Callithrix jacchus: one gene and its partners. The protein of the gene in region 5 interacts with the protein of the main gene of each other region in a pairwise test. Links are inferred from orthologs where the notes say so. Each region holds a gene or a part of one and is shown on either strand. Other genes may lie near its edges. The genes, in order: GLYCTK, NCS1, FAM168A, ARNT2, DTX2 and SEC22A.

Region 1 (5,172 bases), on a different chromosome or scaffold from region 5:
CAACCTGGGTGGCAGAATGATATCCTGTCGAGACAGAGAGAGAGAGAGAGAGACCCTGTCGAGACAGAGACAGAGAGAGAGAGAGAGAGAGAGAGAGAGAGAGAGAGAGAGAGAGAACACCAGTGAGAGAGTTGGAAGTGGGGGCCGGAGGAGGGGAAAAGTTCATGACAAGAGCACGGCATAGTTTAGAGAACTATGGAGAGATGTAGCAACTGCCAAAGGGAGCAGGTAGGGAGTGTGAAAAGAAAAGGAAATTTCAGGACATGCTAAATTAATAATGTGAAGGAGAAAAGTTAAGCCCTGGAAACTGAGCAGGCATAGCCTTTTCTTTCTTTTCTTCTCTGATGCATGACTGTTGCTTCCTGACCTTTGGGTTGAAATGTTATACATTAACCAGACTCCCTATTCTTCATTCAAACTTAGACTAGATGATGTGGGAGATAGAGACCTTTGTGATTGTTACCTCTTTACAATAGAATGTTAAGCAACATCTTTCAAGTATAATCAATAGTAGCCAGTCAAATCTTGTATTTATGTTAGCCTTTTTTGGAAAATGTTGTAATTTCAGCACCTTATTTTTGCCTATATAAACAATCTTCAGCTTTCCCCACACTGGGGAGCACTAATTGTCTGTTTACCCAAATGGCTGCTCTCACACTTTATGCTTTAATAAATTCTTTTAACTGGATCTCAAACCTTTTGATGATTTTTAGGTTGATGATAGAAATGTGTTTTTGGGCCAAGTGCAGTGGCTCATGCCAGCAATCCCAGTACTTTGGGAGGCTGAGGCAGGTGGGATCATTTGAGGTCAGGAGTTTGAGACCAGCCTGACCAACATGGTGAAACCCTGTCTGTACTAAAAATACAAAAATTAGCTGGGCATGGGCTGGCTGCAGTGGCTCACCCCTGTAATCCCAGCACTTTGGGAAACCGAGGAGGGTGGATCACCTGAGGTCAGTAATTTGAGACTAGCCTGGCCAACATGGCGAAACCCCATCTCTACTAAAAATTAGCCAGACATGGTGGCATGTGCCTGTAATCCCAGCTACTAGGGGGGCTGAGGCAGGAGGATCGCTTGAATCTGGGAGGTGGAGGTTGCAGTGAGCCGAGATCACGCCACTGCACTCCAGCCTGGGCAACAGAGCAAGACTCTGTCTCAAAAAAAAAAAATTAGCTGGGCATGGTGGCAGGCACTTTTAGTCCCAGCTATTCTGGAGCCTGAGGCATAAGAATCACTTGAACTTGGGAGGTGGAGGTTGCAGTGAGAGAGAGAGGAGAGAGAGAGAGAGAGAGGGAGAGAGAGACAGAGAGAGAGAGAGAGAGAGAGAGAGAGAGAGAGACAGAGAGAGAGAAAAGAAAGAAAGAAGTGTGTTTTTGTATTGTTGCTTTTTTTTTTTGAGACAGGGGCCCAGGCTGTGGCACAATCAAGGTTCACTGCAGCCTCTACCTCCCAGGCTCAGGTGATCTTCCCACCTCAGCCTCCCTAGTAGATGGGACTACAGGAGCATGCCACCACACCTGGCTAATTTTTTTTTTTTTCGTAGAGATAAGAGTTTCGCCATGTTGCCAGGCTGGTCTCGGACTCCTAGGTTCAAATGATCCACCCACCTTGGCCTCCCAAGTGTTGGGATTATAGACTTGAAACACTGCACCCTGCCGAGAAACGTTTTAATAAAATTGTTAGAAAATCAAGTGTGTGATTTGTGACGCAACTCTCCCTTCTACCTCCCTAAGAAAACATCAGTAAAAAACAGTGAACTGTTCTGTGGTTTTGGAGCCTGATCAGGACTCGTCTAATGAATATGGGAAGGCATCAAGCCAGCTCAGGGTGGGCCCAGGAAGAGAGCAGGGACAGCGAGGAAGGACCAGAGTCATTCGCGTTTACATGCAGCTTTTATGCTTGAGGATCACGGAACAGAACTCTTGCTAAGCCAGAGCTGTATTTGGTGGCCCATGGTGAGAGAGGGAAGAACACTAGTAAGTTGTGGAATTAAAGCCATGAAGAGAAGCGGGAATGACTTAATTTGGCTCCAGAAGCGGTGAGTCGTGGGGAAGTAGTGACTCTCAGTTCGTTTGCTCAGCCCAGTGCCTGACACCTAACAGCAGCTCAGAGTGCATCTGCTGACTGATCACACAGAATAAAGGAAGGGAGAGGCCGGGCGCGGTGGCTCAAATCTATAATCTCAGCACTTTGGGAGGCTGAGGTGGGTAGATCGCTTGAGTTTTGGCGTTCGAGATCAGCCTGGCCAACAAGGCGAAAGCCCGTCTCTACTAAAATACACAAAAATTAGCCGGTCGTAGGGGCGCAGCCTATTCGGGAGGCTGAGGCATGAGAATCGCTTGAACACAGGAGGCGGAGGTTGCAGTAAGCCGAGACCGCGCCACTGCACTCCAGCCTGGGCGACAGTGTGAGATCCCGTCTAAAAAAACACAAACTGCAATCGGTGAGGCGGGGATCATTATGCCTAATGGAGAGATGAAGACAGTGAGGCCTGAAGGTGACTCCTTCCAGGTCTATTGGTGGCCAGAGAGGAGCCAATACCCTAAATGCTCCTTTCCCAGACACCGGCTTCAGCAAGAGCTCGCACCCGCCAGCCCCACTCCACCCACCCACACTTCCGGCTTCCGCTCCGCGTACCCGCGAGTACTTCCGGCTTCCAGCGCCGGGCGCTGCGGCCCGGAGCTGTTGGGTGGTAAGTCTGCGCCGCGAGGGCTCACAGGGCCTTTAGAATCAATCCCGGGGCTGGGCGACGACAGCTCCCGGTGGCAGCAGGCCCTTCTTTCTCGCATCACCAGGCATTACGGGACAGCCAATTCCCTCGCGAAGGCCCGACCTAGGGATGACGTCATTTCCGTCCCTTGCTGGTTGGGTGAACCGGAAATGGCGCCAGCCCCCTTTCGTGATAGGGTGGAGTCAAAGCCGGTAGTATTGTTATTTCCTTGTTTTGCTCTGGAACCGCCTGGAGTTTTGGAGAGACCATGTCTTCGATGGAATTGTAGAACTTTGCAAATGAAAATGCATAGCGGCCAGTTAATTTGTTTTTTAATTTTGAGACAGTTACCCAGGCTGGAGTGCAGTGGCGCAATCTCGGCTCATTGCAACCTCCCTGCATTCTAGTGCTTCAGCCTCCCGAGCAGTTGGAATTACAGGCTCCCACCACCACACCCGGCTAATTTTTGTGTTTTTAGTAGAGACGGGGTTTCACCGTGTTGGTCAGGCTGGTCTCAAACTCTAAATTTGAGTTAAGATAAACGACGAACAATTGTCATTAAGTCCTAAACATTGTGTGCGACATATTTTTTTTTAAATTACTTGTTGGCTGGGCGCGGTGGTTCACGCCTGTAATCCCAGCACTTTGGGAGGCCGAGGCGTGTGGATCACGAGGTCAGGAGTTCAAGACCAACCTGACCAAGATGGTGAAACCCCATATCTTAAAAAAAAAAAAAAATTTATGTCTTTAAAAATAAAAAAAAAATTGTTTACCGGGAGGCAGAGGTTGCAGTGAGCTGAAATCGCACCATCATGCTCCAGCCTGGTCAACAGAGGGAGACTCCCTCTCAAAAAAAATTGTTTATCTGAAATTCAGATTTAACCAGACGTCCTGTATTTTCTCTGGCAGCCTTAGCATTGAGCGTTCCCTGCCTTGTGCTCATATCCAGTGGCAAGGCTGGGATCTTCCAGGCTCTTGTCCATCTGGGAAATAGATACAAAACTATAAGGACCTTAGTTGCTAGGATGCTTTTTTTTTTGAGACGAAGTTTCGCTGTTGTTACCCAGACTGGAGTGCAATGGCACGATCTCGGCTCACTGCAGCCTCTGCCTTCTGGGTTCAAGCAATTCTGCCTCAGCCTCTCGAGTAGCTGGGACTACAGGTGCACACCACCACGCCCAGCTAATTTTTTGTATTTTTAGTAGAGACAGGGTTTCATCATGTTGACCAGGATGGTCTCGATCTCTTGACCTCATGATCCACCCGCCTTGGCCTCCCAAAGTGCTGGGATTACAGGCTTGAGCCACCGCGCCCGGCCCACTAGGATGCTTTTAGCTCCAAGCCTAATGGGCAAGCCCCATGGGTCCCCCTGGCAAAAACTGTACCCATTTTCAGAATCCCCATGACCATGCCCTCTGTGTTCCCTTTCACAACAGAAGTCCGGCACAGCTGTCTTCTCCTGTGGGAGAGCTGAGAACTAGGCAGGCAGAATGGCCAGAGTCTAGAAGTAACCACCTTCTTTGGGTGTGGGGTAAACTGGTGTTTGAGATCGTCTCTGTTACAGTGGACAGTATCAGAGAACCTGAGGGTGTCAAGGGGAAAGCTTAGTGTTAATCTCACCTCATGTCCCATTTTGCAGATGAGACCCAATGAGAGCAATGGAGGTGTCCCAGCCACTCAGCAAACGTGTAGTAGAGCTGAAACCTCAATTCCCAGCATCCTTACCCTGCTCAATCCTTACTTGCTGATGAAGTCAGCTTGCAGCATTTATGGTAGGCATTTATTAAAGTAGGTGCAATAGTACATCTGTGGTAGAGATGGGCTCTTTGGGTCTTTGTTGTCCCTACACCTCTCTGCAGATTCCTGACCTTCAGTCCAAGGCTTCTTTAGCTTTTACTCTGCCCAGTGGGGAAAATGGCTTTTTGGGCTCAGCTTTGGGAGCTTGGCCTTTGCCTACTTCAGCCCCTGGGCTCTCACCACTGTGGGTGGTGTGGCTTAGGACTTGTTTTTGTTGTCTTGGAACCAGAAGGGGTGTTCATGGCAGAGTTGGGTCTGGCCAGCTATGTGGGTAGAAGGGCATCCTTCTCTGTCCTGCAATTGGGCTCATGGCACATGGCCTCACATGGTGCCTGGGCACTTTCCTAAGGTTCCACCATGAGCCAGACTGTTCCAATTCCTGATTTAAACCTAAATTTCTTGCTAAACTGGTCCTGAATACTGGGATTCCTCAGATTGCATGCCCTGAGGATGTTCTGTGGGCTTGATCTGATAAACCTTTAGCCTCCTGTAGCCTCTGACTTCCTAGGCTCCTAATCCCAGTCTCATGAGATAATGAAATAGAATAGGCTGGAGGTCAGTGGGCTCAGGGTCAGTTGGTGGGACAATCAACAGCCTCCTGGCAGCAGAGGTGGTAAAGAGGCAAGGAAGGAGTGCCAGAAAGGGGTGTTGCCCCTGGGTAAGA
Region 2 (4,491 bases), on a different chromosome or scaffold from region 5:
ACTGTCGGTGACCTCGAGGGGGACCCTGGATGAGAAGCTGCGGTGTAAGTCCAGCTCCTTTGGCCCTATGGGGCAGCAGCTGGCGGGCCCAGGCAAGAGGGAGGCAGTCCTCTGCCCTCACCAGGCAGGGGCACCAGACGCCCACCGCAGTGACCGCAGATGGTGTCCCAGCTCTGTCTGTCCACTGAGGGCAGGCCTGGCCCTGGGCAGGTAGCCCTCACATGGCCAAGTAACTAGGCCAGACCAGCTGTCCCGGGTTCAGAGAGTAGCACAGACATTGGCGCTTCTAGGTCAGAGGGTTTCCTGGAGGTGGAGGGCTGAGGGCAGAGGCTGGCAGGAGCCTTGGCTACACTCTGGCAGGTGCAGACCTGGGCAGCGGGAGGGGCAGTGGGGACCCAAGAAACAAGTTCAGTGCCGGACCCACCTCTTTCATAGCCACTGCTTTGATTCCGGCTTTCACTCCTTCACTTACTTGTTCATTCGCCAGATGACGACTGCACGCAGCCAGCTGTTGGTACCAGGGACCCACTGGGGATAAGGTAGATAGGTCCTGCTTTCACGGTTGTCAGTCTAGCATGGCAGCAGGATTTACCAAAACCTCAGGAAACTGTAGGCGAGCGGGAGAGGGAGTCCTGAGCAGGAGGGGACCTGCCTGGTAGGCGCTGGGCTGGGGTGAGGGGAGCTGGGAGGGGTGCAAGGGCTCCAGGCAGGGGGGCCCGCAGGTGCGAGGCCCATAGAGGGAGGCTGAGAGGACAGGAGGGAGGCTGTTCAGGCCCCTGGCGGCATTAGCAGGAATGCAGGGAGGGTGAAGGGTGGGGAAGATGGAAACCATGTGGCCAGAGCTCCCTGCTCGGGAAGACTTTCACACTTCATTCCGCCAGCAGCCAGAAGACCCTGCAGTTTCTATTGATTGATTGATTGATTGAGGTGGAGTCTCACTCTGTTGCCCAGGCTGGATGCAGTGGCACGATCTTGGCTTACCATGACCTCTGCCTCCCGGGTTCAAGTGATTCTCCTGCCTCAGCCTCCTGAGTAGCTGGGACTACAGGCACCTGCCACCACACCCAGCTAATTTTTGTATTTTTAATAGAGACAGGTTTTCACTATGTTGGCCAGACTGGTCTCGAACTCCTGACCTCGTGATCCACCTGCCTTGGCCTCCCAAAGTGTTGGGATTACAGACGTGACACACTGTGCCTGGCCTTTTTTTTTTTAAGGAATAAAAGAGAATTTTATTTATGCAAAAGATCCTCCTCGTGTTGCACTATTTATTATCTAATGTTGACTGTCGGGGCCACAGCATAACTGTGGGAGCCGAGTGGACCATGGGGAGGAGGTGGGGCTGGAGTGGGGGAGGGAGTAGGGTGGTGGATAGACTCCTCTGGGCCACACCCCAGGCCCCTGGCTTCCCACTCACTCGGCTCCAGCCTCTGAGGCCTCGGCCCTGGAAGCCCAATGCCTCTTCCCTTTATTTTATTTATTCATTTAGAGACAGAGTCTCGCTCTGTCTCCCAGGCTGGAGGGCAGTGGTGCGGTCTCTGCTCACTACGACCTCTGCCTCCCGAATTCAAGTGATTCTCGTGCCTCAGCCTCCCAAGTAGCTGGGATTACAGGTGCTCACCACCATGCCTGGCTAATTTTTGTATTTTTAGTAGAGATGGGGTTTTACCATGTTGGCCAGGCTGGTCTCAAACTCCTGACCTCAGGTGATCCGCCCATCTCGGCCTCCCAAAGTGCTGGGATTACAGGCGTGAGCCACTGTGCCTGGTCCTGTTATTTTTAATTAATTAATACACACACACACACACACACACACACACACACACACACACACACACATACATATATGGAGAGAGAGAGAGAGAAAGTGAGAGAGAGAAGGTCTTGCTCTGTCACCCAGGCTGGAGTGCAGTGGCTCGATCTCGGCTTATTGTAACCTTCACCTCCTGGGCTCAAGCCATCCTCCCACCTCAGCCTTGCAAGTAGCTGGAACTATAGGCACATGCCACCACGCCCAGCTAATTTTTGTATTTTGTAGAGATGGGGTTTTGCCATGTTGCTCAGGCTGATCTCGAACTCCTGGGCTCAAGCAATCCACCCACTTCAGCCTCCCAAAGTGCTGGGATTACAGGTGTGAGCCACCACACCCAGCCTTATTTATTTTTAACCCTAGCTGCAATGGGGTGTGTGTGTGTGTGTGTGTGTGTGTGTGTGTGTGTGTGTGTCTGTCCCTATCTTGATGTAAATATTTGTTGACCTGATGAAGAATGGGCCATCCGGTCTCTAACTTCATGTTGGGGTACAGAGAGGAGGGGTGAGCTGAAGACCCCTCCCAGCCGCCCCAGCCTTGCTCACTCAGCGCTGGCTGTTGCTTACAGGGGCCTTCAAACTCTATGACTTAGACAACGACGGCTACATAACCAGGAATGAGATGCTAGACATTGTGGACGCCATTTACCAGATGGTGGTGAGAGGCTGGTTCCCATGGTGTGGGGATGGCAGGAGGGGCAAAGCCAGTGACTGAGAAAGAGACAGCACCTGTGCAGCGGTGCCCCTGCCCAGGGTGGGAGCGGGGGTCCCTGGTTGAGCTGTTCTGTTCTGTACATCTCTGCCTGGGCAGGTTGGCAGGCAGGGGCTGGCAGATAGTGGGGCTGGGGTGTGGGATATTCCAGGGCAGAATGGCAGGGATGGGGAGAGGAAAGAAGAGGGAGGTGGTTCTCATCTGGAACCTGCCAGGTCTGGGGGGCAAATGTGTGGCCAAGAGCCCAAAGCCCAGGGTGCCAGGCCCCAGTCCCGCCTTGTCTGTCCCTGCAGGGGAACACCGTGGAGCTCCCAGAGGAGGAGAACACTCCAGAAAAGAGAGTGGACCGGATCTTTGCCATGATGGACAAGGTGAGGTGGGGCTGGGGCTGGTCCCAGACCGGGGAGGCAAAGGGTCGGGGCAGGAATTGGGGTCCCTGGAGCCTGGGCCCGCCTTTGCTGCCATCGAGTATGGGGCTGGCTCACGGCAGGCGGCACGGCCTGGTGGCACATCCACGGTCAGCAGCCAGCCGCATCCAGTGTCCAGAGTCTTAAGTCAGTTTGCTGGTGTGCTTTCTCTAATCAACCAAAGTCCTCAGGCTTTATTTTTTTGGTTTGCCGCAGACCCCTTTGGCATTCTGGAGAAGCCTACGGACTTCTCAGAATAACGGCTTTCAGAAGATCAAAAAGGAAGCTGATTATTTTAGAAAACAGCTGTCAGAGTATTTTTAAAAAAGAATCTGTGATGTAGCATTCTGTGAGCTGCTCTTCTTAACGCATTAACTAAGATGTAGTGGTGGGGCTGACAAGCCCCACTGGGAAATTGGGAGCTGTCCTATCTGCAACTGGGACGCTATGAAAATACCTGTGACCCCACTGTCGACAGATCACGGGGACTGCAGGTCCTGTTGGGGACCATCATCTAGGTTCCTATCGAAGGAAAAGCTACATTTCAGTTAGAGGTTAGTGAAAAGATAGACTGATTTTTTCCCCCAAGTTCACAGTCCTGCTGATTTCTATCCACAGGCCCAAGGTTAAGAAACCCTTCTTTAAAGGGAACCATAGGCCGGGCGTGGTGGCTCACACTTCTAATCCTGACACTTTGGGAGGCCGAAGCATGTGGATTACCTGAGGTCAGGAGTTTGAGACCAGCCTGACCAACATGGTGAATCTCTGTCTTTACTTAAAAAAAAAAAAAAAAAAAAAAAAAAAGATTACAAAAAAATTAGCCAGGCATGGTGGCACATGCCTGTAATCCCAGCTATTTGGGAGGCTGAGGCAGGAAAATTGCTTGAACCCAGGAGGTGGAGGTTGCAGTGAGCCAAGATCACACACTGCACTCCTGCCTGGGCCACAAGAGTGGGTCTCAAAATAAAAAAAAATAAAAAAGGGGGCCAGGCGCAGTGGCTCACGCCTGTAATCCCAGCACTTTGGGAGGCCGAGGCGGGTGGATCACAAGGTCAAGAGATGGAGACCATCCCGGCCAACATGGTAAAACCCCATCTCTACTAAAAAAATACAAAAATTAGCTGGGTGTGGTGTCACGCGCCTGTAGTCCCAGCTACCTGGGAGGCTAAGGCACGAGAATTGCTTGAACCCGAGAGGCAGAGGTTGCAGTGAGCCGAGATTGCACCACTGCACTCCAAACTGGCGCCTGGCAACAGATCAAGACTCTGTCTCAAAAAAGAAAAGGTACCATAGACACTGGGGCCCTCTTGAGGGTAGAAGGTGGGAGGAGTGTGAGGATTGAAACCCACCTATTATCAGGTACTATGTCATCTGGGTGATGAAATAATCTGTGCAGCAAACCCCCACAACACAGGATTTACCCATATAACAAACCTGCACGTGCATCCTTGAACCTAAAATAAAAGCCTAAAACAAGGACTCCAAAAAAAAAAAAAAGGAATCCTTCTTTAAATCAAACTTCTTTTTAAACTAAAATAACTTTTTTTTTTTTGAGACGGAGTT
Region 3 (4,951 bases), on a different chromosome or scaffold from region 5:
TCTCACCAGGGTATCTGAAGGATCAAATGAGGTAAAGATACAAAAACATTACTACTGCACAGGTGACCACACTGTGGAAAAATAAAATCCATCAGCACATTTCTCCCAGGCAATTACTTTTCATTTTGAGCTTTCAAAAGCTAGAGCTTTAATATAAACATCTCACCTCTAGACCAAGCCTGCAGATCTGCAAAAACAATGTCTAGACCCCAGAGTAAAGTTAGAGAGAAATGCTTGCATTAGATTACAGTCTCATTGAATTACAGGTAACTGCTCAAACCTGATTTTTATTGTAATACAGAAAGCTTCCTTATTATAAAACACTTTCAATTCAAAGGATAAGTCCAACTTTCCACCATTCTGCCCATTTTGGAGCTAAAAAAAAGTATTCTAAATGGATATTTTTGTGTGCTCAATTGTGAAAGCCACGGAAAATGGTTTGTTTGTGAGCTAAACTCTGAAGCTTGAACAAAAACAAAAAGAATTATTTCAATCCCAATGGTGTCGATTTTGTCTTGTTTGCATCCCTCCTCATTTTTTTTCAGTCTGAGCTCTAATCAACAGCCACTTTATGTTTAACATATCATCACAGTTAATGCAATTAGGTCCAGAACTGTTTCTCTAAAGATGTTCCCTCCATTTACACTCCTCTGTACCTTCCATTATCACTATTCTGCCATAAGAATGAGTATATCATTAAGGTTTAAATCGAATTTCTGATGAATAGATGGAGATGCTGTTTCTCTAGTTAATACAATGCACCTACATCAACATCATTCCCTAAAAAAAATAAAAATGACTTAATATGCTTTATTTATTCACATCTGACAGAATTCTGATCACCTGAATTCCTTTGGAAGAAAATTCAATCTTTAGAAATACAATCCAATTATTTTAAATCTTATCAATGCCAAAAACAATCATATGAAAAACTCCATCAGTACCAAACCATCTCACCAATGAATATTTATGACATTTCCATATTTCCTGTCTTCTCTCTGTTTACATAAAGCAGTGGTGCCAAGACTCATCTCAGGATTATTAGCCTGCAATACAATGATGGGCCTAATTGCCTTGCAAACCAGGACACTAACAAATGGCGTCTTCAAGCAATCAAATCAACCCCCTAATTTTAAGAGGGGGTAAAAAAGGCCCAAGCTCTTTTTGCCTATGTGCATGTTGCCTACCTACAAAATAAATTCAGCCTCATATTTTTCAGGCTCACTCATTAGTTCTCAAGCAAGGAATGCACCCTTAACAATCTCAAGCTCACCAAATCTATTTAAAATTCCAGGTATAGTTTTTAAACACACCAGGAGGAGAGGGGAAAGGAGAAGGCAGAGACATCAAACAGAAAGATACCTATTACATTCCAGTTTATCTTCTCCCCACCTTTAGTTTGGAAGTATGCTTTCTTTCCCCCAACTTTCTTTTTATAATCTACAAATAACAGAAGACACCCTCCCCTCCTTAATTCTACCTTAACTAAAGTCCTTTCCAACTTTACCCTTTGGGCTGACTTGACTTCCAAATTATACTAATATAAATAAAACAAACAAAAAGATCAAACGAACAGCTTAAAATGGCCCCTAAGAATGAGGTCTCTTCTGTCTCTGCTGCAAAGTCCCCTCTAACAACAGCCTTACTGCCTCTCCTTCAATCACAGCTACCAAAACTGTCCATTTAAGTATTCCAACCCTTAACCCTCACGGGTCTCCTGGAGGTCATCCCAATCCTTCACATCCAAAATATCCAACCCACTTCCCCCTCCCCACCACAGCTCACTGTCCCTCTCCATCCTCTCTGCCCCATCCATACCAGGTCTCCTACTCCTTAAATTTGCCCTGTGCCACTTCTTCATCAGCAATCACCTCTCCAGGCCTACCAGCTCATCTCTGAAAATCCTTCCAAACTCCCTCTGCCACCTTGGCCAAGGGACATTTTCTTCAAGATACCATCCCCCAACTTTGCTCACCACCTGCCGCTATCCTTTCAATTAATGCAGCCCAGGGATGTTTTATGTGTCCTCTGCCTTGACCCTGCAACCAAGGAGCCACCATGCCCTTTCCACTGATTGAAAGATCCTAAATCCAACCCACTGTGCCCCTCGCTCGATTTCCATCCTGTTCTCCCATTTTGGACCTGACTTCCAATTTGACTCCTTCTTGTCAGCTCACCATCACACTCCCCTCATTGAATGTCCCACCTCCACTAACTCCTATTCCAACCTCGATCAGCCCACCCCAGGAAACCCCCAAATTGCACTTCTCTGCTCTAACGCATGCTATTCCGTAAGTCTCCACAAATTTCACCAGCCCCAGATAACAAACACCCACTTCAAGCTCAAGTCTCAACACCTGCCAAGCCCCTCACCCCCAGCTCCTGTTACCTCCATCACCCTGCTCCAGGTCCACCCCAAATTCCACCCTCCTGAATTAACACTCCTCAGGGTCCTATCCAACCAGATACAGGTCCTATCCTGTATCTGTTACTCACTCTCCACTGAAATCATTCTCCTACCCCTCACCCCAGCTCAGATCCGAAGCTGTCAACTGCTCCAGGCCAACCCCAAATCACCACCCTCATTCAGTCCCCTCCCCCATTAGAAGCCATCCCACCCTAGTCTCATCTTCCACCTCGCCCCAAGACCATCCCGAATTCCAATCCGACGCCCCCACCCCACTCTCCGGTTCCAGGTTGGATTATTCTCCATCAAAAGTCCTCCTCCCTCGTCGCCCGCCCCCCAACCTGCTTGGGTCCCACCCTCACCCCACCCCAGCCAGCGTCTGGACAAGTCTCCCCCGCCAGCCTGCTGTTCCATCGCTACCTCAACCCCCTCCCCCAAACCTGCGCGGAGGCTCGGCAGCCCCCACTCTCATTCTCGCCAGCACAACCGGCCCAGGCTCAGGACGAGCCGACCGGGCGGCGGGGGGAGTCTCCTCACCGGCTAGCAGCTGCAGGCGAAAACGACGGCGGCGGCTGAGGCGACGATGCCCTTGTCTTCTCCGAAGGCTACGGCGGCGACGCTCTCGCTCCCTCGCCCGTGTCCAGCAGGGTGGAGGATGGCACGCGGGGACCGGAGCCTCCTCCTCCTCAGCGACTCGGCTCTGAATCCTCTGCAGTAGCCGCCGAGGAGCCCGACGGGTTGGGGGGAGGGGACGCTCGGCTGCAGGCGAGGGAGGAGGAGGTGGAGGGAGGAGGCGGGGGACCGCTGAGAAGGGCGGGGAAGGAGGAGCCGGCGCGGCGCCGCGACACGTCCCACAGCCTCAGAGCGCCTGGACCACAACTCCCGGCATGCCCTGCTTTGGCCTGCGCGCGGCCTGCGCCTCCCGCCTCGAGCCCGGTACAGAGGGGCCGCGCCCTCTCTGGTCACGGACAATGGAATAAAGCCAACCATCCGCTGGCAGATGTTGTAGACTCAAAGACCACCTGTGAGGAAAGTCGGATCGCCCGAGGCCCCAACCCCAAGGGGCAGTGCTCGCAGTGTCTCCATCTTCTTTGCATAGACACACACACTCCCTCTCTCTCCTCGGTCTCTCGCTCTCTCGGTCTCTCTCCCTCTCTCTCGACTACACCTCCCAGCATGCCTCTCAGCTTCCCACCCTCCTTCCGTACCCTTCTCAGACCCGGTACTACACTTCCCAGGGAGTGTGTTCCCTGTGAAATGCTGGGAGATGAAGTTCTTGGTTCTTCCTCCATATTAAGAAAAAGAAGTGAAAGAAAGGAAAAAGGGAAGGAATATGCCAGCCCACCGATCCAGCCCCTTGATGGGCTAGATCACCTATGATTCTGCTCTTCCTTCGCCATCTCCGTTGCAGCTGTCTCTCACCAGAACTAATGCCGGAGCTTCCTCGCGGGTCTCCCTGCAAATTTGAGGACAATTCGGCAACTTGAATACAAACGTACAAAGGGCATACTTCTTGACCCAGCTTTATTACTTTTAAGAATTTACCTTAAAAAGATAATCGAACAATTTCGAAAAGATTAATGCACAAATTGTTATATGAGGTAGTTAATTATGGGGGGGAGTAAATGTTCATCAATAGGGTGCTGTTTAAATAAAGTGTGACATATACATACAATGCAATACTAAGGAGCCATTTAAAATGATGATATAGGTCTATTTATTGACTTGAAAAGCTATTTACAATTTATTCTTGAGGGAAAAAAATTGATTACAGAACAACTTGTCTAGACGGGTTCAATTTATCTGAGGTTTGACACAATATTCTATAAGCCTGGAGAGATTTCAGGAAAGAGGTTCCCCAAAATATTAGCAATTATTATCTTGAAGGAAAGGGTGTCAGATTGCACGTAATTATTATTACTTCTTTTGAGACGGAGGCTGGAGTGCAATGGCAGGATCTCGGCTCACTGCAACATCTGCCTCCAGGGTTCAAGCGATTCTCCTGCCTCAGCCTCCCTAGCAGCTGGGACTACAGGTGTGCACCACCACGCCCAGCTAATTTTTGTATTTTTGTTGAGATGGGGTTTCACCATGTTGGCCGCGATGTTCTCATCTCTTGACCTCATGATCCGCCCACCTCTGCCTCCCAAAGTGCTGGGATTACAGGCGTGAGCCACTGCCCCGGCTGTAATTTTTATTTTCATATTGTTTCAATTGTTTAAAAGGAACACATAATTTTTTTTTTTTTTTTTTTTTTTGTAGAAGACGTCCTCTTACTATATTGTCCAGGCTGGTCTCAAACTCCTGGCCTCAAGAGACTCTCCTGCCTCAGCTCTCAAAGTGCTGGAATTACAGGCACAAGCCACACTACGCTGGCCAATTTTTTAAGCTATACTCCTTCCGAAAAACATAATTTCCAAATCTAACAACCTTTCTTTACTGCCTAGACACTTTCCATGCTTCTCATTGCCTCATTCTTGCTTCAGCACTGTGCCTACCTGGTTTGTATCTGAGCTCAACAGTTCCATTATTAAAACAGATAAT
Region 4 (5,138 bases), on a different chromosome or scaffold from region 5:
ACAGAGCTCCTGTGTCTTTCTTTCCATAATATATCCAACACCTGGCTTTGTGTCTGGCACACAGCAGACATTCAACATTTGTGGAATTGATAAACTATTAGATTGGTAGTGACAAATACTCCCCGAAGAGAATGTTTTGCTTTTGTTTTTTTTTTGAGACAGAGTTTCGCTCTTGTTACCCAGGCTGGAGTGCAATGGCGCGATCTTGGCTCACCGCAACCTCCGCCTCCTGGGTTCAGGCAATTCTCCTGCCTCAGCCTCCTGAGTAGCTGGGATTACAGGCACGCGCCCCCATGCCCAGTTAATTTTTTGTATTTTTAGTAGAGACGGGGTTTCACTATGTTGTCTCGATCTCTTGACCTCGTGATCCACCTGCCTCGGCTTCCCAAAGTGCTGGGATTACAGACGTGAGCCACCGCGCCCGCCACCCCCCACCCCTTTTTTTTAAGACAGAGTCTTGCTCCATCGCCAGCAGCCAGGCTGGAGTGCAGTGGCGCCATCTCGGCTCACCGCAACCTCCGCCTCCCGGTTTCAAGCCATTCTCCTGCCTCAGCCTCCCGAGTAGCTGGGACTGCAGGCGCGTGTCACCACGCCCAGATAATTTTTGTATTTTTTAAAATCGCATTTTAGGTTTTGGGGTACATGTGAAGAACATGCAGGATTGTTGCATAGGTACACACATGGCAATGTGATTTGCTGCCTTCCTCCCCATCAAAAATGCTGGCATTTCTCCGCATGCTATCTCTCCCCAACTCCCTACCCCCCGCTATCCCTCCCCTATTTCCTCCCCCCCCCGACAGACCCCATTTTTTTTGTATTTTTAGTAGAGACGGGGTTTCACCATTTGGCCAGGATGGTCTCGATCTCTTGACCTCGTGATCTGCCCGCCTTGGTCTCCCAAAGTGGAGAATGCTTATTTGAACATACACCCCAAACATTGTTTCTCTACCCTCCAGAAAATGCTTCTTTGGAAGGATTTAAGACAGTCTGATGTTTCTGCAAACATGCCTGCGTTTAGGGGCCATCTTGCCCTTCTCAGCAGCGTTCACCGGGGATGTATTTATTCTTCCATTTAACCTTTACAGGGGACCACGATCGTGGCGTGTCCCTCCTAGGGGCCATTACCTTTCACAGGGATCCTCGTGTCTGGTAGAAAACAACCGCTCCAAGTTCTCTGCATCCTAACTTCACCAGGATACGCAGATAAACCTATTTTTAAAAATGTTTTTAAATTCTCAACTTGGCGGTGTAAATAAGGCTCTTGCAACGCCCTCAGGTAATAACCAAGGGCAGTAATCACCGCAAGAAGGAAGGTAGAGCTGAGCGCCTTACTCAAGGCCAAAGCATTCGCAATCTCTAGGGCCCGGCTGCTGTGCCTGGGCGTGTGCACCGTGCACTCCGAAGCTGCGTGCGGCGGTGGCCTTGGAGGTGCCTGTGGCCTTAGGAGTTCCCGGGGCCCGGAGCCCTCCGCTCGGCACCGGGTCGCGTCCCCGGCCTGGGAGCCGAGCAGCGCGGCTCTGGCATGCTAAGTGGGCAGCTCTGGGGCGCCTTTGTTCCTCGCGGCCGTCTCCCAGGGCCGGCTTCCCTCTGAATCTAAATGGGCTTCTCCCCCACCCGCTCCGCCCTGGCCCCCTGGCCTGGGCACGGCGCCCCTCGGTGATGCGCGCCCTGACACCTGGGGCGTGGGCGCGCGGGGGCAGCCCGGGCCGGGCGAGCGCGGGAGGGGCGCCTGCGGTCCCTGCGCGGGCCCGAGGGGGCGCCCCAGCCTCTGCCCCGCCAGTCGGCGGCGCCCAACCTAGGGGTCCCGCCGCCCGCAGCCCCAAGTCTCGCGGTGCTACCTCTCTGACTGGGGAGCCGCGGGCCGGGCGCCCCCCGCCGCGCGACAAAGGCTGAACTGGGAGGAGGAGGCCGAGGAGGGGGAGGCGGAGGCGGGGAAGGCGGGGACGGCGAGCGGCCGCGGCGGCTGGGAGCGCGGAGGGAGCGCCGCCCGCCCGCGCCGTCCTTTGTGTGGCGGCGGCGGCGCCTGGGCCTGACCGGGTCCCCGGGGCTGCGCGCCCGGCTCGCGCCGCCCCTCCCGCGCCCTTGGCGGCGCGCGCGGATCCTCTCCGAACAAGATGGCAACCCCGGCGGCGGTCAACCCTCCGGGTGAGTAGCGGCCTGGGCCCCGCTGCCCGCCGCAGCCCGCAGGCCCTGCCCGGGGCCGGAGCGGACCGGGGGCGCCGAGCCGCAGCTCCGCGCGGTGGGTGGCGGAGCGGCTGTCAGCGCGCGGCGGCCGCAGCATCAGCACCAACACCAGAGCGGCGTCTGCATCCCGACCCTGCCCATCCGGTCCCGGGCAGGCGCCGGTCCGGCCCTGCGGGCGGCAGCACGCTGACCTCACACGCTCGGGAACCCCAAGGGCCGGCCCGGGAGCCCCCGAAGTTCTGAAAATAACCACCTTTGCCTTCCCCATCCCACGCATTTTTCTCTTCCGGTCCCGGCTTTTGTGGCATCGCGGCGTCAGCCAGTCCTGGCTGGTGGAGGGCTCCGCGCTGACGGAGGGAAAAGTTTGGAGCCGGTATTCAACAGGGTACAACTCCCGGGACTCTGCCCTGCCCGCCCCGCACCCAAGCGCTGGTCCTTTGCGTCCTTGGCGACTGGCTGCTGTGCGTCCTAACCCTCTAGGGGCACAAAACACCCAGCCTGTGGTCACCAGAGTGGAGTAGCCCCGGTTCTGCCCAAATGACATCCTCTGCCTTCTGGGCTGACGTTTCCGCAGAGTGCAGCCTGTGACAACTGAGCTCATTCCGAAAGATTTCAAAAATGGCAGAGTTGTGATGGAGTGGCAACCTGGACCTGTTTTGGTACTGTAGCAGGGAAGTTCTGTTTTCCTTGGGAAAGTTCTCTACCTGATGAGCAGGGTGTGGGAGAAGAGAAAGGTGGACATCTAAGCGGGTACAAACTTCTGAGTGTTGTGCAGAGACTGCTGTAGGCATGGCAGGTTCCTAGGTCCCTGTGGAGGATGCAGGGAAAGTCACAGAGTGTGGCCCCCAGGAAATTCGCAGCAGAGGGAGGTCATGTTTTGGAGACGGGGAGGGTGGGGGAGGAACATCAATGCCTCGCAAAGGAAAGCATCTGTCATAGAGTTAGGAATGAAAGATCCTTTTCATCAAAGGTGGCCAGGGACGGCTTTTGGAGATTGGACGTTTCGCCTGAGCTTTGAAGATGGGAAGGTTTGAAGGTACAGAGCCAGGAGCAGAGGGGCACTGCCCGCATAAATGACAGTGGACTTGTTCTAAGCATGTGCAGAGGTCAGTGAGTGGTTGGTAGACTGGGGATATAAGAGGCAGCAGTGGGATTCAACATTGAGTTGTTTGGATGTGACCAGGCTTTGAAGGACAGACTGAGGAGTGTGAATTTTCTCCACATTAAGGGAGAGTTCTCTGCATACTTCCTAAGAACCATAAAATAAAATAGAAAGTAGGAAAAAGAGAGAGAGAGAGTCCTCAATGGTATTGAACAAGGAATTGCATGATCACTTTTTTCTGGAAGGTTGATTTGTCAGCCATGTCAAGGAAACACAGAAAGGAGGGAACAAGACTTGAGGCAGGGAGGCCAGCATGAAATGAGGCAGGTCTTGGGGAGGCCAGACTTGGTGGCTGTGGCCGGACCAGAGAGGGAGGAATGCACACTGGGCAAGTGGAGGAGTTTCAGGTTTGGCACTCATTAGATCTGGAGTAACAGTAAAGGAGGAGGCCAAGGAGAGGCAAAGGGCGGAGTCCATGGAGACGCCAAGGTGAAGAGCCTGTGTGATTCCAAGGAAGGCTGTTCCATCAGCAAAAATAGGGGCGTTTGGAAGAACAGACAAGGAGGGAGGCCTCTGTCCAGAACACTGAGGGGGAACCTGGCTGGTCTGAAAACACATCTGTGCCATTTTGCCTCGACTGAAGCTGCCATTTCAACCCATTCAACGAATTCAAAATCAATAGAAAGTTGATAGATTTAAATGTTATGAAATCAGAGAAAGCAAAAGAAGTTAAATGAAGATCTTTTAGTGCAACATAGGTTTACATTCGGAACAGGAGTGAAATCCCTGATGATTTACCTAATTTCTATGCCAGGACATGATTCTTTAAAACTGTTTTGTCCATTACATTTCTCTGTGATCTATGTGGACTGAAGATGGAGTCGCTGCCCCTGGTCCAGTGGTGTGGAGCACAGGAGAGCCTGTGCCTGTGCCTTGGACTGCGGGAGACTCGAATGCTGCAAGCGCGGGGGATTCTTTGCATTGTTAGTCAACACCTGGCCAGCTTGGCAGATGCTTTTCTCTGTTGACAGAGATACCAGGGATGTTGAGCATGGTGGTAATTTCTCAAGTGAAAATTCCCTTGCGGTGATGACCTTTGCTATTACAGACTATCATTTTTTTTTTACTGGTCTCCTCAGGATGATCCATGGGGAGGTGTTATTCTTGCCGCATGTGAATCTCTATCTTCTTCTTCAGGAGAAAGGGTTTAATCTCTTAAAGGGAGATGGCTCAGGGTTTGAGCCAAAGAGAGAGATTTCAGATTCTGTGGGCGATTTACAACAAAAAAAGCCAGGGCACCCAAGCTTGTCACCCACAGCCTACCTCACATGGGCAAGAGCCTTGTGATACATCTTTTAATTCCTTTTTCTGCCTCCCTCCTCTCCCCAGATATGGTTGCTTTGCAAAGAATAAGAGATTGGTAAACAGAGCAAATGGACTGGGAAGCACCAGGATTTATTTCCACTGCTAGTTTGTGTCCAGGGTACAAAGGCCACAGCCAGTCACCTCCCCATCCTCTCCCACCTGTTCCTTTTTTCCCAGCTGACCACTTCACAACAGCAGAACCGTTTGCAATGACACTCTTCTGCGATGTGTAGTGGGGATTCTCTAGGGCCTTGTTGGTGACAGGTGATGTTGGGGGTCTTCATTGACATGTTGATATAATCCATGTCCAAATTTTGAATCTGCTCCTTCAAGGTCCCATTTGGGTTTTAGGTTAGGATTCTACCAGTTACTCTGGGAGAGCAGAAAGAAGGATTGGGCTCCCAGATATTCACCTCATGACTTCTGCTATGACAGTCCTGACTATATTTCTCATATCCTGTGGTCCTGGGTATCCCCTACTTCTGGG
Region 5 (4,928 bases):
TCTTTTACACACCACCCCTGGATCTCTAGAATGAAGCTCAGATTCCTCAGGCTGACAGTCAAAGCCCATCACAGTCTGGCCCCTCCCTCGTTATCAACAATATTTGCCTGTGCCCTTCCCTTCCACCCCCTCTCGTCTATCCCTCCCCCTCTACAATCCCCCTGCAGAGTGTCTATGTCTATCCCTCCCCTGCACGATCCCCCTGTGGAGTGTAAGTGATGCTCTGCTACTCCCATCTGCATCAGCGTGTCCCTACCCCCACGTCTCAGCTCCACCCCAATCCCACCCACTTGGTCCCCTGTCCTCACCTTACCCACCCTTTTACGGCCCAATTTAAATAGCACTTCCCACGATGCCTGGATGTGCCCAGCAGAAAGCAAACACCCTCTAAATTAGCCAGGCGTGATGGTGTGCACCTGTAATCCCAGCTACTTGGGGAGCTGAGGCACGAGACTCTGGAGCCTGGGAGGCGAAGCTGCAGTGAGCTGAGATTGCGCCACTGCACTCCAGCCTGGGTGACCGAGTGAGACTCTGCCTCAAAAAACAAACAAAACAACAACAAAAAGAATGAAAGGAAACACACTCTGATCAACCTCCTTTTCAGTCCTTTTCAGTTCTCTCTGTTCATTTTCTCTCTTCCATTAGACTATGAGCAACTGAGGGCGAAACCACTCACCTGCCTCTCCCCCTCCCCCTTCTTGGCACCGTCCCCGCCCCACCCCACCCCCGCCCCCAAGAAGCTGGCATGGTGTAAAGAGACTCACTAAGAGAACAATCCAGTCTAACCCATTCTACATGTGCCAGTGTGCTCCTGTAAAATGTCCCTCAGGAGGCCAAGCACAGCGGCTCAGGCTTGTAATCCAGGCACTCCAGGAAGCTGAGATGGGAGGATCACTTGAGGCCAGCCTGGACGACACAGAGTTAGAGACCAGCCTGGACAACACAGAGAGACACGGTCTCTAGAAAAAGTTAAAATATTAGTTGGGTATGGTGGTAGGCCACTCAGCTCCTCCCGAGCCAGGAATTTGAGGCTGTGGTTATGATCACTCCACTGCACTCCGGCCTGGGCAATAGCAGTAGACCCCACCTCAGACAAATACATACAATGCCCCTCATGGAATTCTGCTAAAATCCTTCTGCTCCCGAGTCTTGGCACGGCCCACATAACCCTCCCCCTCAGCCCTCCACCTGCTTTTCCAGCCTCCTCTACCACATACTAAGCTACTTACAGTGGCCCAGCTGTGTCCCGGTGGCTTCATGACTTTGCAAATGCTGACTCCTCTCCCAGGCGACTGTGCCCCACTTTCTAAGTCCTACTCCTCCTTCACAATCCCCTTCAACTACCACCTTCCAGAAGCCTTCCTGACCCTCCCCCGTCCCTTCCCTTCCTGGATGTGGGTAGGAGGGCCTTATGATTTCCCCCATCTCAGTATATGTCACACTGACAATATCACTGACTGTGGTTTGTCTTTGCCACCAAACAATGAGCTCCCAAAAGACAGAGATCTTGTCTGGCACCCAGTAAAGGTTTATGCAACAAAAGAAATGAAAACTGCCAGTTCAAATGCAGAAATCGTGACTTGTGTCTTCCATCCCATAGAGCATGTCTTAAAGTGGAAAGCATCTTCTAAGACTAGTTAAACAGGAGAAGCAGCTGGCAAGACGCCACTGAAATTTATTTGAGACAGGTGGCAATCAACAATTAACTCCCAGGGTGACCGTTTATCCTGTAGACCTCAAATTCCACCCTCCCCAATCCCCACCTTCTCTGCACCAGACAGAGAAGGCAGCAAGGTCAAGTCCCTGTGGCTCTCACCTTTTTCTCCTGAGAGCTGGCACGAAGCGTCCCTTTTGGATGAAGACACCAGCTCCTTAGGAGGAATGACTTGTTTGAGTTCCCATCTTGATGCAAACCACAAACAACAAAAACCGGGCAAATCTGAAAGGCTTGCTGACTCAGCAACACAATTTCCAAGGCACCTTTGCCAACAAGGAAGATGATGATCAGGTTTTAAATTGAGAAACAGCGGTTAGTAAAAACGAAGGTGCAGATGTTGGATCCGTGTGCTGTGCCTGGGGACTGAAAATCACCAGATTTATTTTCCAGTAGCCTGGGTGGAGCAGAAGGCCTCCTCCACCCACTTATCAAGGAGATGGTTGAAAAACAACAAAAAGCAAACAACAACAAAAAAACCCTGAGCCCTTCTATTTTTTTATTATGTATTTATTTTTGGAGATGGAGTCTTGCTCTGTCACCCAGGCTGGAGTGCAGTGGGGCGATCTCAGGTCTCTGCAGCCTCCACCTCCCAGGTTCAAGCAACTCTCCTGCCTCAGCCTCCCGAATACCTGGGATTATAGGCACAAGCCACTACACCCAGCTCTGAGCCCTTCTTTAAAAAAAAAAAAAAAAAAGTTTCGTTATCCCTCTGTCACCCATGCTGGAGTGCAGTGGCATGATCATAGCTCACTGCAGCCTCCAACTCCTGGGGCCAAGCAATCCTCCTGCCGCAGCCTCCCAAACAGCTGGGACTACAGGTGCCAACAGGCCCATCCAATTTTTTGTAGAGACAGTATCTCAGGAATCTTCTTCATTTCTCAGGCTTGTGTCAAACTCCTGGACTCAAGTGATCCTTCCACCTCGGCCTCCCAAAGTGCTGGGATTACAGGCGTGAGCCACCGTGCCTGACCTGAGGCCTTTCACAGAAAACCCTAAAAGAACTTCATAAGCCAGTCTGGCAGCTAAGCATCCAGGAAATCAACATACCAGAGACAGTAAATATTTGGCCAAGATCACAGAGCAACCGAACCAGAGGGCTTGCTGTCAGGATGGCTTAGGTAAGCCCGGATGGTGGCTACCAGAAAGTCTGCCTTCTTTAACGCTAGAGGAGCTAGGAGGGCATGCAGAAATATTCTGAGTTTCTCAAGGGTCCAGGCGTTTGTACACATGCTATTTATTTCCATCGCGGTTGGCGCTTAGAGAAGCGGAGCCGGCTTGGAGGAGGAGGGCGGCTAGCTGAGAGTCGCGATGAAAGCGCAACTCCAGAAAAGGGAACCGAGTTCTAAGTCTTCGTTGGCACCCCTTACGCACCCGCAAAAGGGACCCAGGAGGTCCTGGGAAAGTAGAAGGCAGACCCCAGCCGGAGAGCAGGGAAGCACAGTTAGAAGGCAATCTCCTCCAAAGTACAACCCCCAGACCGTAAGTCCCTTCACCTGGAGGTAGACCCCAGTAGGACCCACCCCTCGTCAGAGCCGGTGGCAATCTCGTCACCGCCTCCTCCGGGTCCTGTGGGAAGGGGTGCGCTCCTCCCGAGCGACCCGAACTCCCGGGGGCCGCGCCCCTCCGCCTGGGAGCCCCTCAGCCTCCACCCAGACGTCCCCTCTCGCACCCGGCACCCTGTCCCGTCCAAGGCTCCCGGCGCCTCCCAAGTCCCCCCAACTCCCGCCACCAGGACCTTGAGACCGGAGACCGATGCCCCGACATCCCTGATCTCCCGGGACCCCCGGGTGTCCCCGCCGCCCGGGCCGTCTACTCCCCTCACACCCACGCCCGCCCCCTTCCGGTCCCGGCTGTGCTCCGACTCCCCGCGCCACCCCGCGCCCCAGCGACGCGCAGGTAGCCTGCCCGCCCTCTCACCTAGGCTGAGGAGGACGAGAGAACGGGGCTGAGGGCACCACAGCGCTCGGGCTGTAGCTTCGGCTCGGCCTCGGAAGGTCTCCGGCTGCAGCTCCGACTCTCAGGAGAAGGCAACCAGAGTGAAACTCAGCGTCGCAGCTTCCGAGCGCGCCGCTGCGCATGCCCGGGGCGCGTGGGCTTCCGGGAAATGTAGTCCCGGAGGGGCCCAGGGGCGGGCAAGGGGCCGGACGCAAGGGGAGGGGCTCAACCCAAGGCGCACCTGCTCTGGTCTATGTTTTCTTCCTTCGCCTGTTCACTCATTCACTTATTCTTTAGTTACTGACTTCATTTTAACTAGTTTTTACTAGTACATACATGGTGCCAATTCAGGTGCTACTGTTTCTCTTTTTTGTTTTTCAAATTAACTTTAATTTTATTTTTATTTGTTGTACAGACGGGAGTCTTGCAATGTAGCTCAGGCTGATCTCAAATTCCTGGCCTCAAGTGATCCCCTTGCTTCAGCCTCCCGAAGCACTGGGGTTGCAAGTGTGAACCATTGAGGCCAGTCGTTTTAAATTTTTTTCTTTTTTCTTTTCTTTCTTTTTTTTTTTTTTTTTTTGAGACCGAGTTTGACTCTTGTTACCCAGGCTGGAGTGCAATGGCGCGATCTCGGCTCACCACAACCTCCGCCTCCTGGGTTCAAGCAATTCTCCTGCCTCAGCCTCCCGAGTAGCTGGGATTACAGGCACGCGCCACTATGCCCAGCTAATTTTTTGTATTTTTAGTAGAGACGGGGTTTCACCATGTTGACCAGGATGGTCTCAATCTCTTGACCTCATGGTCCACCCACCTCAGCCTCCCAAAGTGCTGGGATTACAGGTTTGAGCCACCGCGCCCGGCCTTCTTTTTTTTTTTTAGAGTCAGGGTTTGACCATGTTGGCCAGGCTGGTCTCAAACTCCTGACCTCAGGTGATCCGCCCACGTTGGCCTCCCAAAGTGCTGGGATTACGGGCGTGAGCTACCACACCCAGCCAAACCTTTTTGGATTTAAAATTTTGCAGGGCATGGTGGCTCATGCTTGTAATGCCAGCACTTTGGGAGGCTGAGGTGGGCGGATCACCTGAGCTCAGGAGTTCAAGACCAGCCTGATCAACATGGAGAAACCACGTCTCTACTAAAAATATGAAAAATTAGCCAGTGTGGTGGCACATTCCTGTAGTCCCAGCTACTCGGGAGGCTGAGGCAGGAGAATCGCTTGAACCTGGGAGGCAGAGGTTGTGGTGAGCCGAGATCGGGCCATTGCACTCCAGCCCGG
Region 6 (4,491 bases), on a different chromosome or scaffold from region 5:
CTAGTTCTTTTGGCATTGTATTCTTCATTTGCATGTTTATTTTCTTACTTCAGGCCCTAATAATAAGTTGGCTTCTCTGCCTCATCTCTCCCCTCTTGGACTGTCTCACCCTAAATTCCACTGTCTCAGGACTGTTTTTGATCAAGTCACTTCCCTTGAACCTGCAGCAGAACTTCCTATAACATATTATATCAAAGTGACATCCTTCAATCTGAACTTTCAGGGCAATCCAGGATCTGGCCCCACACTGATTATCACACGTCTCACAACTATCCCAAAATCACCATCCACTGAACCAGGATAAGCATGTTAATACACCTGCCATGCTAAGTCACTTTCTTTTTCTACCTCTCCTGCCATGCTAAGTCACTTTCTTTCTTTATTCTGCCTCTCCTCTGTACACCTGGAATTGCCCTCCTCCTTGCCTTAGCCAACTCTTATTAATTCTTCAGGAGATGGCTCATGTCTCATCTCAACAATGAATCCCTCTGCTTATTATATCCTATATGGACTGTGTCTTTGATTTCTGTATGCATAATCAGTATCAAACTTCTCAGAAATTAATTGTTCTCTAATTGTTTCAGGTCTAAGCTTCCCAGGGTGGTCTCATCCATTCCCATGGTTTTAATCACAAACTGTAAGCTGAATTCCAAATCTAAATTTATATACTTGTCCTCTTCATTAAGATTCAGACTCATGTATCCAGCTGCTTCCCTAGCAGTGCCCCTGGATATCTAATAGGCAGCTCAGATTTAACATGTCCAAACAGAATTCTTACTTTTTATCAATGAGGCACACTTATCCTCTCCTGTCTTGCTCATTTCAGCTCCAATGTCCATCCAGTTCCTCAGATCAAAAAAATTACAGGTGATTATCATTCTTTTTCCTACACATCCCATTTCAATCCAGTAGGAAGATTTGCTGGTATTAATCCCAAAATACACCCCAATCTATTTATTTTCATTACCACCCTAGCTCATTACACTCATCATCTCCATCTGAACTTCTCTAAGAGTCTTCCACCTGACCTCTCTGCTTCCACTCTTTCTCCTTTAGTGTATCCTTCACAGAGCACCCAGAATGATCTACTCTATGCCAAAATGAAATCATGTAACTCTACAGCTTAAAACTCTCCAATAGCTCCCTACTAGACTAAACAGACTAATAGACTCCAAACTCACTATGGCCTAGAAGGCCCTCCATAACCTGCCCCATTCCTACCTTTCTGACCTCACTTTCAACAATTGTCCATAATGCTTCGGGATCACTGGTTTCCTCTCTCTTGATATGTAACAAAGGGCTTCCCCACTGGCTGATACCTCTGCCTTGCTCTTCATCCACAGCATCCTTCAAATAACTACCTCCTCTCTCATCTTTTGAGTCTCTGATCAAATGTCACCCTCTCAGAGAAGCCTTTGACTACCATAAATAGTCACTCTCTATCCCACTGCCCAGTTTTACTTGATTCATATATGATACAGCGATAAGTGCTATCTCCTCCCACTAGATGCTGCTTCTGCTCTATGGCAGATATCAGGTAAAAATTTTCTATTTACAATTATAGTTTGCCTACTACAATCCTAGGTATGTAAGAATGCGAATATTTAGTGATTAACTTATAAATATCTGTATCTGCACAACTATAAAATTTCCTAGAGCCACATATAAATACAAAGAAACTGCAAAAAGGCTGCTGCTGACATAATGACTATTTAGCGTAAATTCAGAATGATATGATTCTTGGCTTGAACAGGTTTTCCTAATCACTCCTTTCTACCACAACCACTTAAACTTCATTAAAATGACAACCACTGGGCAAGTGAGTCAAATGAAGCAAACTGAAGTCTTACTTAATGTTATAATGTCCAGTTTTCAGCGTACATCTATCAGGAAGTTGAGCAAGTTTCCTCGAGAGCATTTTAAAATACTTTCTGCACTCCTGCATTCCTGTGCTTTGTTCATAATCAGTAGAAGCAGAAAGTGGCAGTCCATCTCTGACACGAAGGACTGAGGCAGATAAAATCATAGACATTTCAACCAACAGAGAAGACCTAAAACAAAATGAACAATTTGGGTTAGATAAAAATTAAAGCCAAACTTGATAAGCATATGCAAAAATGTTCAACTCACTAGTAATATAAGAATACTAATTAAAATGGCCAGGTGCAGTTGCTGATGCCTATAATCCCAGCACTTTGGGAGGCTGAGGTGAGCAGATTACAAGATGAGACATTTGAGACCAGCCTGGCCAACATGGTGAGACCCTATCTCTATTAAAAATACAAAAATTAGCCAGGCATGGTGGCGCACACCTGTAATTCCAGCTACTCAGAGACTGAGGCAGAAGAATTGCCTAAATCCAGGAGGCAGAAGGTTGCAGCGAGCTGGGATTGTGCCACGGCACTCCACCCTGGGCAACAGTGAGACTCTGTCTTGGGGCTGGGGAGTGGGGGGTACACCAACCTGGGTGACAAGAGATCCTGTCTCAAAAAAACAATAAGTAAAATAAAAGTAGACTGCATTCTTTTATGTCTGGCCTCTCTAGGATACTAATAGAAATATTAGGAATAGTCTTTATTAATAGGTTGCAAATTTCATGTAGTCTTCAGTTATTCTTTGACAGAGCGATAAATATATGATCCACATTTTCTAGAATACATACTGAAAAAAGAACACAATTTTAAGTTCCATTTGTTTAACAAGCATTTACTGAATATCTACTGTGTGCCATCACCCCCCAAATTAGAGAAATTCAGATGAAAAGAGGAAACAACACATGTGTGTTGCCCATCACTTCACTCACTTCATTAACTGGAAAACTAAAGTTGGACAAACTTACATTTCAAATTTTTCTTTTTTTGAGACAGGGTCTGACTCTCGCCCAGGCTGGAGTGCAATGGCTTGATCTACACTCACTGCAACCTCTGCCTCCAGGTTCAAGTGATTCTCCTGCCTCATTCCCTCTGGATTACAGGTGCCCGCCGCTACACCTGGCTAATTTTTGTATTTTTAGTAGAGACGGGGTTCAGCTGTGTTGGCCAGGCTGATCTCAAACTTCTGACCTCAAGTGACCTGCCTGCCTCGGCCTCCCAAAGTGCTGGTATTACAAGCGTGAGCCACTTGGCCTCAAATATTCCTAACGCATACTTTAGCTTTTAACTAAAAGCAGAACACAGCAGTTATATTCCCTGTCAAAATTCTTATAAGGTTGTCAGAGGATTGTTTCTACTGATCCATAGTTAGGATTTTTCTTAGGGAAAAAATTAAACCTCTTCCTATGAGTATTTTGATTCAGCATCCAAACCAGTTGAATTTCAGCCTGACAAACTGGGATGAATGTCCAGTGATCAATGTCAGGCCTAACCAATTTGCAGACAGACTCCAATCACCTTAGGCTAAGCTGTCTCTCCAATTCAATGAACTACTTTTTTCCTTTTAACCACGGATTCATAATGTAGTTTGTTGTTGTTTTTAAACTAATCTTATCTGCACTGTGATAGCAGAAAAGAGAATCTGTCCATATCAAGCCCAAGCTAGGTTAGAGTATCTTTAAGGTCTAAGAAGGGTTGTGGTTGGCAAAATCCCAAGGAAGAACCAGTGGAACTGTGGAAAGCAAGAGGTTACAACAATTGCATGGGAAGATTTAGGACTTTTTTTTTTTTTTTTTGAGACGGAGTTTCGCTCTTGTTACCCAGGCTGGAGTGCAATGGCGCGATCTCGGCTCACCGCAATCTCCGCCTCCTGGGTTCAGGCAATTCTCCTGCCTCAGCCTCCCGAGCAGCTGGGATTACAGGCACGCACCACCGTGCCCAGCTAATCTTTTGTAATTTTAGTAGAGACGGGGTTTCACCATGTTGACCAAGATGGTCTCGATCTGTTGACCTCGTGATCCACCCGCCTCGGCCTCCCAAAGTGCTGGGATTACAGGCTTGAGCCACCGCGCCCGGCCAGATTTAGGACTTTTTAGCTTAAAAGGGCCATAGATAAATGTTTATAGCACTGGTCCATTTTTCCTCACCTTTAATACAGAGAAAATATTATACCCGCTTTAGACAGCAGCAGTTAACTCACAGGGAATCTGAATAGTGGCTCTTGTTTCCTCTCGCCATCAGCAACTGTTGAAGGAAAAAGCACAAGTTAGAATCTAGGTAAATCTGGGTAAACCTTTATGTAAAGGCTGAGGAAAATAAATTCCCATAATGCCAAACTACTATAGTAGTGTTAGCAAGTTCTTAGACCTAAGATAACAAGACATCTCTCTTCTTCAGGACCTTGTGTGGGTAATGACAACAGGTTCAATGTCTCAGGAAGGTATCTCTCAAAAGGTAATAAAGCCCAACATATAAGTAGATTTTGTATATATGTTCTAGCCAAATGCTTTCACAAATGCCATTTTTAAGATAAAAACATTCTATACTGGGGGTAAAAGCACTCATTTATTTTAGTTCATAATTTCCCAGTCTTCAGTCATCTAAATGCCACTTTCATAAT

Evidence for each region.
Region 1: the proteins of DTX2 (region 5) and GLYCTK interact in binary tests that used the Homo sapiens proteins (3 or more experiments, as listed by UniProt). The two-hybrid records come from large-scale screens. The link is inferred for Callithrix jacchus from reciprocal best matches to the Homo sapiens genes DTX2 and GLYCTK.
Region 2: the proteins of DTX2 (region 5) and NCS1 interact in binary tests that used the Homo sapiens proteins (3 or more experiments, as listed by UniProt). The two-hybrid records come from large-scale screens. The link is inferred for Callithrix jacchus from reciprocal best matches to the Homo sapiens genes DTX2 and NCS1.
Region 3: the proteins of DTX2 (region 5) and FAM168A interact in binary tests that used the Homo sapiens proteins (3 or more experiments, as listed by UniProt). The two-hybrid records come from large-scale screens. The link is inferred for Callithrix jacchus from reciprocal best matches to the Homo sapiens genes DTX2 and FAM168A.
Region 4: the proteins of DTX2 (region 5) and ARNT2 interact in binary tests that used the Homo sapiens proteins (3 or more experiments, as listed by UniProt). The link is inferred for Callithrix jacchus from reciprocal best matches to the Homo sapiens genes DTX2 and ARNT2.
Region 6: the proteins of DTX2 (region 5) and SEC22A interact in binary tests that used the Homo sapiens proteins (3 or more experiments, as listed by UniProt). The two-hybrid records come from large-scale screens. The link is inferred for Callithrix jacchus from reciprocal best matches to the Homo sapiens genes DTX2 and SEC22A.

What each region holds. Positions count from the first base shown.
Region 1 is NC_133516.1:34,811,350-34,816,521, forward strand, and holds the start of GLYCTK (glycerate kinase), read left to right. Parts: upstream 1-1,877; 5' UTR 1,878-2,039; intron 2,040-2,638; coding exon of another isoform or gene 2,639-2,790; exon of another isoform or gene 2,791-2,854; intron 2,855-4,350; 5' UTR 4,351-4,483; intron 4,484-5,172.
Region 2 is NC_133502.1:178,805,438-178,809,928, forward strand, and holds part of NCS1 (neuronal calcium sensor 1), read left to right. Parts: coding exon 1-44; intron 45-2,378; coding exon 2,379-2,467; intron 2,468-2,814; coding exon 2,815-2,892; intron 2,893-4,491. UniProt on the Homo sapiens protein: Neuronal calcium sensor, regulator of G protein-coupled receptor phosphorylation in a calcium dependent manner. Directly regulates GRK1 (RHOK), but not GRK2 to GRK5. Can substitute for calmodulin. Stimulates PI4KB kinase activity.
Region 3 is NC_133511.1:67,374,155-67,379,105, reverse strand, and holds the start of FAM168A (protein FAM168A), read right to left. Parts: upstream 3,143-4,951; 5' UTR 2,945-3,142; intron 15-2,944; 5' UTR 1-14.
Region 4 is NC_133507.1:27,187,809-27,192,946, reverse strand, and holds the start of ARNT2 (aryl hydrocarbon receptor nuclear translocator 2), read left to right. Parts: upstream 1-2,114; coding exon 2,115-2,145; coding exon of another isoform or gene 2,146-2,785; exon of another isoform or gene 2,786-2,843; intron 2,844-5,138. Other genes in the region: uncharacterized protein LOC128932337, read right to left, coding at 1,188-1,209, 1,839-2,785. UniProt on the Homo sapiens protein: Transcription factor that plays a role in the development of the hypothalamo-pituitary axis, postnatal brain growth, and visual and renal function. Specifically recognizes the xenobiotic response element (XRE).
Region 5 is NC_133503.1:11,212,356-11,217,283, reverse strand, and holds the start of DTX2 (putative E3 ubiquitin-protein ligase DTX2), read right to left. Parts: upstream 3,546-4,928; 5' UTR 3,482-3,545; coding exon 3,453-3,481; intron 2,081-3,452; exon of another isoform or gene 1,981-2,080; coding exon 1,817-1,980; intron 1,343-1,816; exon of another isoform or gene 1,230-1,342; intron 1-1,229. UniProt on the Homo sapiens protein: Regulator of Notch signaling, a signaling pathway involved in cell-cell communications that regulates a broad spectrum of cell-fate determinations.
Region 6 is NC_133516.1:79,844,580-79,849,070, forward strand, and holds part of SEC22A (vesicle-trafficking protein SEC22a), read right to left. Parts: intron 4,116-4,491; 5' UTR 4,110-4,115; coding exon 4,072-4,109; exon of another isoform or gene 4,019-4,071; intron 2,052-4,018; coding exon 1,851-2,051; intron 1-1,850. UniProt on the Homo sapiens protein: May be involved in vesicle transport between the ER and the Golgi complex.